2 linked regions of the Mus musculus genome follow. The protein of the gene in region 1 interacts with the protein of each later gene in a pairwise test. Links are inferred from orthologs where the notes say so. Each region holds a gene or a part of one and is shown in the gene's direction. Other genes may lie near its edges. The genes, in order: Atp10b and Tmem30a.

The links.
Region 2: the proteins of Atp10b (region 1) and Tmem30a interact in a protein complementation assay, tested with the Homo sapiens proteins (2 studies listed by IntAct, with this or other methods). The link is inferred for Mus musculus from reciprocal best matches to the Homo sapiens genes ATP10B and TMEM30A.

Annotation. Positions count from the first base shown.
Region 1 is NC_000077.6:43,148,581-43,152,847, forward strand, and holds the start of Atp10b (probable phospholipid-transporting ATPase VB), read left to right. Parts: upstream 1-1,296; 5' UTR 1,297-1,372; intron 1,373-3,011; 5' UTR 3,012-3,034; coding exon 3,035-3,309; intron 3,310-4,267. UniProt on the Homo sapiens protein: Catalytic component of a P4-ATPase flippase complex, which catalyzes the hydrolysis of ATP coupled to the transport of glucosylceramide (GlcCer) from the outer to the inner leaflet of lysosome membranes.
Region 2 is NC_000075.6:79,776,336-79,780,160, reverse strand, and holds part of Tmem30a (cell cycle control protein 50A), read left to right. Parts: intron 1-2,829; coding exon 2,830-2,937; intron 2,938-3,825. UniProt on the Homo sapiens protein: Accessory component of a P4-ATPase flippase complex which catalyzes the hydrolysis of ATP coupled to the transport of aminophospholipids from the outer to the inner leaflet of various membranes and ensures the maintenance of asymmetric distribution of phospholipids.

The DNA of each region.
Region 1 (4,267 bases):
TATGGGTTACCAGAAAAAAGCAGGGATTGAGGAAGAGAAGGAAGGGAAAAGTACAGTGTGCACATTATTTGCAAATGTAGGAGGTCCTTAAAAGAGGTTGTTCATAAAAAAATTAATATAAAACTTTTCAGCTGTGGAAAAAAAATAGATATGGGAATAGAGGTAAACTGAGCTGTCTCCGTGCCAGAGTGTATGAACTGCTCTTCTCCGTCCAAGTCTTTCACAGACTCCATACATCCTCCTTCAGGTTCTAAAACCACTAGAGCTGGGCCCCAGCCTCTCTTCTTCCTATTCTGATGGATAGGAAGCAAAAAGAGAAGATTACACAGGCTGAGGCCAAAACAAGTCACAGCCCAGAGACTTACGTTATCTGCAAAGAGGCTTGGCCTCCTACTTTTCACCACCCCACAATAATACTGTCACAGTGCAAATGCATCAAGCCGGAGCCGGAGCCATCGGTGCCCAGGCATCCCTCAGAACAGTGCTTCCCAGTCTTCTGAATGCTGCATTTATTTAATACAACTCCTATATTATGGAGCACAAATTGTTTGTTTCATTGCTACTTTATAGCTATAACCTTGCTTCTGTTATAAATCATAATGTTAATATTTTTGGAATCAGAGGTTTGACAAAGGAGTTACAGCCCACAGGTTGAGAACTGCTACCCTAGACATGTCTTAATCCAAATATAGTAACAATCAAATCAGCCATCTAGGAAGAATATCTTCTTGGCCAGGCACTCAGGTGTGAGATATACCAAATGGAATTATAATCCCCAAGACAAAGATGATAGAAAAGACCAGCTTACATTTATGATACAAGCAGTGGTCACCACAGCCTAGTCACTGCATGTCCAGGTGTCCTTGAAAAGTATCTTTCTGCGCTGTTCCACTTTCCATTCTCATTGAAATACCAGCAACAGCAACAACAAACAGAAAGATAGAAAGAAAAAGGAGAGAGACACAGAGACACAGAGACGCAGAGAGAGAGAACCTATAAAACCTACTAGGCTGCCATTCAAATTGTTGTATAGTTGATAATGACATTGAACTGCTAGTCCTCCTGCCTGTCTCCTGAGTGCTGGGATTATGGACGAATGCCCTCTATACCAGGTTGTGATGGTTTGTATATGCTCAGCCCAGGGAGTGGCACTGTTAGAGGGTGTAGCCCTGTTTGAGTAGGTGTAGCCTTGTAGGAGTAGGTATGTCAGTGTGGATGTGGGCTTAAAAACCCCATCCTAGCTGCCTGGAAGCCAGTATTCTCCTAACACCCTTCAGATGAAGATGTAGAACTCTCAGCTCCTCCTGCACCAGGCCTGCCTGGATGCTGTCATTCTCCTGCCTTGGTGATAATGAACTGAACCTCTAAACCTGTAAGCCAGCCCCAATTAAATGTTGTCCTTTATAATATTTGCCTTGGCCATGGTGTCTGTTCACCGCAGTAAAACCTTAACTAAGGAATAGGTTTATGTTTGGTGGAACCCAATGCCTCTTGCTTTTTGTACTCTGCCTACAAGCTATGTCCCCAGACCCATCCATTTGATGTCCTGCTCTGAAATTTTGTAAGGTTAAAATGTTCATAGCCAAAGAAATCCTAAAGACTAAAGAACTCTTGGTAATGGAATCCATGTGACATGGAAATTGAAGGAGGCAACTCTGGAGGGAGAAGGAGTGGACCAGAAGGGGGAAGTACATAGGGCATGCAGAGAGAGAGTGGGTGGAGCAATTAAAACAAAGCATGTTGACATATATGGATAAAAATGTTATAATAAAACCCATTACATAGTATGCTAACTTTTTAACTTAATTTAATTTAATTTTTGGTTCTTGGTTTTTCAAGACAGGATTTCTCTGTGTAGGCTTGGTTATCTTTGAACTCTCTCTTTAAATCAGGCTGGCTTTGAACTCACAGAGATCCTCCTGCCTCTCTCTCTCAAGTGCTAGAACTAAAAGTGTCTACCACCACCGTCCAGCCATATGTTAACTAATTTTTTTAAAAATTCAATTAAAAAGTATTTAAAATATAAACATTTCTCATTTTGTCTTAAAATATGTCAACACAATTTTATGTACTTCCCAATTTGTTCCTCTCAAATTTGTTCCTACATGGATAGTATTAGGAATATGATTATTCTTCCAGAGGACCTAGGTTCAATCCTCACACTCACATAGTGACTAACAACTGTCTGTAAGTTTAGTTCCAGGACATCCAATAACCTCTTCTGGCCTCTTCAGGCACCAGACACATAAATGGTACACAGACAAATATGCTGGTAAAATACATATCTATACATATACATTAAAAATTTAAATTAACCACATGAGCAAAGGATGGTAAAAATAGCTTTCTTCATTTTTTAAAAGCCAATTCATTATTTTAAAGGTTTCTTTATTTTTATATCATGTGTCTATATGTACATGCTTGAATGTATATATGTATGTATGTATATGATGTGTATACCTAGTACCTACAGAGCCCAGAAGAGACTATCAGATCCCCTGAAACTGGATTTGCATGTAATTGGCAGCCATCTGATGGCTGGGAACTGAACTCACCTGGGTTCTCTGTAAGAACTGCACTCTTAAGCACTAAGCCATCTCTCTAGCCCCTCTTTCTTCTTTTTATGTTGAAGATGAACAAGGTGAATGGAGAACGTTTACTGTTAAGAATGAGCCAAATTTAGCCTCCTAGCATCCCATCTTTGCAGACCACAATTTGGCTTTTCCATGACATCATCAACCATGTCATCAACAACTGCCACACTGACACCATCACTTGCTTTCACAATGCTGATCCTTGTGGTAGTTGTATAATTTTTTTTTATTGTTTACTTAATGTATCTGACCTTAAAACAGATGCATCGCAGGAACTTTTTCTATTTTTCTAAGATTGAACTCTACATGTACAAAAGAAGAGATGCCATGTTGTATTATCCTCCTTACCATAGTGACTTCTTGTGTTCACATTCCACTCAGCTCTCCTGATCACAGCAACTTCCTGTGTGTTTGCAGACTATTGTCACCTGATCCCAGAAATGACTTGCTCTCTTGACTTTTCTTGGCTCCGATGGAAATGGCGAACCCAAGATGGCTTCTCCCAATCTCCATCAGAAACCACACCACTGCTTTCTCCAGAGACAGACAGACAGAGCCACAACACAGCAGAGCAGCGGGTCGTATACCCCAACAACAGCATGTGTCACCAGGACTGGAAGAAGGTCTGCAGGAGGTACCCAGGCAACAGCATCTGTACAACCAAGTACACTCTCCTCACCTTCCTGCCCCAGAATCTCTTTGAGCAGTTTCATAGGTATGCAGCTGGGTCTCCCAACAATATATACCATGGCCTAGCATTGCTGCTGAGATGATGCAGTTCTCTTTGATATCCAAATGTACATATGGAACAAGCTCCTCTCATTTATCAAGTGTTGACTTATCACATCATGTGTTTGCGTAGTAAACATATATGGAAAGAAGAGACTGAACTCATTGTTTGCCCCATTTAGTGAAGGAGATACATTAATTTTTAAATTGCCAAATTGACTTAATTCTATAACTAGAAAAAAAAATACTTGCAAAGAAAGGTATGTGGTACTTTACAGTGTGAATTTGGTAAACAGAGCAATGTCAGCCAAGACTCCCTTGAAGAAGTAACAATTCAGACATGACTGGATGAAAAGATAAAGAGACACCCTCGGTAGATAACTCACTGAGGGGTAAATATTCACTGAGCCAAATATGAGGACTAGACTGTTCAGATCCCCAGAACCTCTGTATAATCTGGGCAAGTGGGAAGTTATCTGCCTGTAGACCCAGATCTTAGGAGACAGAGAGAGACAAGGGAGCCCCGGAGTGAAATTGCCTTGTTTAGATCAGTGAAATCAATGAGCTCTGAGTCAAGTAAGAGACCCTCCTCATTAATAAAGTAGAGAGTGATTGAGGGAGACTCCAAGCATCAACATCTGGCATGCACACATGTACACATGCACATGTATTAACTATAAATCAAATATTACCTTAAAATCCCAAGATTTGTTAAAATTTGTAACTAACATTGACGACTGTTATGCTTCAGAACCCTTTTGTGTATGCAAAACCAATTTTTATATCACATAACATTTATTAAAAGCCCTTTAAAGTAGATAGGGTAATATGATGTCCTCTTTGCACAAAAGAGAACAAATGTAGGCAGGTCAGTGAACTAGGAAAGCAGCGGAAACAAGGCTAGCAAGATGGTTCAGATGGTAAAGGTGATCACTACCAAGACT
Region 2 (3,825 bases), on another chromosome or scaffold:
CTTTTAAAATTTTTCTTAATTTTTAAAATAACTTTTAATTCTAAAAGAAGTCTTTCTTAAGACAGCATTGGTCGTCCCATTAGTTAATTGCATTATTTTTGAGGTGTGAAACAGTACCCAAAAATCAAACACTTGTTAAAACTTTATTGATTTTTTTTATAGTTTGGTATTTGGGCCCTACCCTGTGTGCACATGTGTGTATGGTTGTGAGTATGCACATTCGTGCCTATGTGGCATTAGTTCTGGTCTCTAATTTTGGTAAATGAGCATATGGGATAGAACATAAAATTTCAGAATTGGCTTGGATAGAGACCAGTTTGTTTTACCCTATACCTGAAAATTGAATTTAAAAACATTCTTCAGGAGTGGTGCATGCCTTTAGTCCCAGGAGACAGAGGCAGGCAGATTCCTGTGTGTTTGAGGTCAGCCTGATCTACAGAGCGAGTTCTAGGACAGCCAAGCCTACAGAAAACCAAAAAATAACAAAAGAACCTAACGACCTTCTTCAGGAAACAAAGCTGTCATGATACATACCAAGGTTTGAGAGTCCTCATTCAGATTTTCTATATGTAGTGATAACTTTAGTAGTTTCTGGTGGATGGGAGCCATCTAGAGGTTATAGATGCTCTTACACTAAGGTAAATGTTTCTTTGGGACTGAGATATGAAAACTGGCTTGGGAGAAGACTGACAAGTGCAGTGGTGGGCATACTATAAAGATGCAGTCAGCTTTGGTTCTGTGCAGAATTGAAATGAGAGGGTTTGAAAAAGTTAGAGGTTCCTTTATCTCCTCCCTATTCAAAACATTTAATTTGGGAGGCAGAGATAGGTAGATCTCTCTGAGTTTGAAGCCAACCTAGTTTACAAAGTTCCAGGACAGCCAGGGCTGTTACACAAAGAAATCCTGTCTTCAAGCAAACACACAAGCAAACAAGCAAACCAAGCTCCCGGCTTTAGATCGCCTGTTTAAAGTGGCCATTTTGTCTTTGTATGTCTGTTTCTTCACAGATTTTTTAATTGGACTAAAACCATTTCTGGGAACTTAAAAGTTAATTTTGTATCAGAAATGGTAGAGAGTATTCCTTTTTCAGTTTACAGATTGAATTTACTATTATTGTTCTTAATTAAGATGCTATTCTTTTTTTCCTAAACATATTTATCATGTTTTTGTCATACAATTTGATACAATTCACCCAAAGATTTCCATTTTAACACCTTTTATATAGAATGGAAAAGGTTTTTGTTTGCTACTTAACAGTATTTTCATTCATTTATTTACAGTTTGATGCATGATTTCAGGTATTCTAGGTTGACCTTAGACTTGCAGTGTAGCTCAGGTTGGCTTGGAATTAATGATCCTTCACCTGCCTCCTAAGTGCTGGGATTGCAAGCTTCTGCTACCAGAACACGTCAATATTCAGTCTTTAAATGTCTATGAAGTTAGCAAATCAAATAAATCAACTTCTGTGTGTACAGAATTACTTTTAATTGAAGATATGAATATAAAAATAGAAGTTTTAATCAGAAAGCAGAAAATAACATTTTTTTAAACCTGTTTAGTTATTTGGTTTCTTAGCACCTTGTAGTTCATTCAGTTTATGTTTATTACTTTTTTTCCAAGATATTTGAAGTTACCTCCATTAGAGTACCATTCTTGATTATTATTATAAAATATAACAGTGTATTTTCATAACTACTAATTTACTAATTGCTAATAGTCTGTAGTATCCTGGGGACTATTTGGAGGGCAGAAGGAACCAAGGCAAGACAGGAGGAAGTGTCATGAGTAAAGTAAAATCTATGTGTAAATCATTGTGAAATATTTGGTATACTAACAAATTTTAATAAATAGGAAAGAGTAGTATATATAGCATCTTCTGAATTTGTGTATTCTCATTCCAGTTATAACTTATTTGGATAATAAATCAAAAGTTTAATCATTCTTCTGAAAGGCAGATGCTAATTGGATGAAAACCAAGTTGAATTAGTAAAACTTTATATTGTAGCTCAGAGCACACTAATATTTTTCAATATTATTTTTTAATGAAAATATTTTGTGGTGTGGGGTGTGTGTGTGTGTGTGTGTGTGTGTATGTGTGTGTGTAGTATGACATGTGTATGTCTTCCTTTGTCTCCTTATTTCATGAGACCAGTCTTTCCCTGAACTTGGAGCTTCTCATTTAAGCTAGACTGGGTAGCCAGAAAGTTCCTGCCTGTCTCCTCCCTGGCTGCCCTTCATTGCTGGGTTTATAGATGACTGCTGCATGATGGTGCTGGGATCCACACTGAGGCTCTCATGCTCACACTACGGTCTCTTTACCAGTGAGCCATCTCTTCCAGACTGCACGCAATACTTGTTGGATAGTTGAGAAGTTTAAAATAGTTGGACTTTATTTACAGTTGCACACTTTATTTTTTGTTTGTTTGCTTATGTTTTGTGGTGTTGGTGATTGAATTCAGGGCTTTACACATGCTCATGCCAGGCGAACACTCTTACTGAGCTGTACTCCTAGTGCTTACTAAGTACTTGGTAAACAGATTTGCTAAGCCAATTAATAGAGTGTGCTTTGGACTTAGTCAATACCTGATTTGTTTGTGGTAGTATTTTCCCCTTCTTTTAAAACTTACCTGAGAATTTAAGAACTGGAGTATAGTTGCTCTACTGTGAGTTGATTTATATTTAATTGTACAATTTTAGTTGCTACTTAACCTCAGTACCTGTTTATCATAAATTGTAAACTAGTAAAGTGTAAATTGCTTACATTTTACATACATATAAAACAAATATTAACTTTTATGTTAAAAGGTTTTCCCTTTCTGTTTTCTCTAGGGCAATGTGTTTATGTATTATGGACTGTCTAATTTCTATCAAAATCATCGTCGCTACGTGAAATCTCGAGATGATAGCCAGTTAAATGGAGACCCTAGTGCTTTGCTTGTAAGTAATGATGAGATACAGATATGTGGTTATCTGTGAAGTAAGAACGTGTTGTAAATATTCATTCAGAAATGTTATTAAGGACTTAATAATCTTAGAGGAGATTAAAGAATTACTTGTCATTTCTAGTTTTAACAGAAATTTTTATTTAAAATGCTTTTTCTTGAATGCCCACAAAATAGCTTCTCAATTCCACTACTGCCTGTTTATTTCTTGGGAGTTTGGCTTTATTTCTTTGTAATGGGATTTTGATGAGTCTAGTATTTTAGATGTGTAAGTGTGTTCTTATGGGGTTGATTCATTATTCTTACGCTAGGTGGGGATATGCAGATGAACTGTTTTTAATTTCTGGGATTGTGCTTCAAATCTGAATAACTGTCCTGTTTTTTTAAACTTTTCACTGTGGGAAGACTAAGCAGCAAAAATGTAAAGCTTTCAGAATTCTCAAATCTACTCTATGTGTTTGTAGGAGTAGAACTATAGGTTATGTGTAACAAGCTCCCTTTCTCATGCTCTATTCGGGAATCCATGGATGGTATCCTAATTTCCTGACTGTTGAGCTTTCCATAGTGGTGTTTAGTACATAAGTATTTTATGTCATCTTGTCAATAGGGCAAACATTTGAAGACTGGACTAGTTTCTCATTTCTTAGACCCTTTGTATGTCTTACAATACACTATAGACAGCCAGACATGGTGATGCATACCTGTAATCACAGCACTTAGAAAAATATTAAATCGATAAGTGATATATAGCTATGTACAGGTAAACAAACATTTTATTTAAAAAGTACTGTAATATTAAAGAATATTTTGAGTATTTAAATGTAGTGTTTAGAGCTTAGTTTCCTTACAGACTCATCATATACTTTCTGAGTGAGGAAAATAC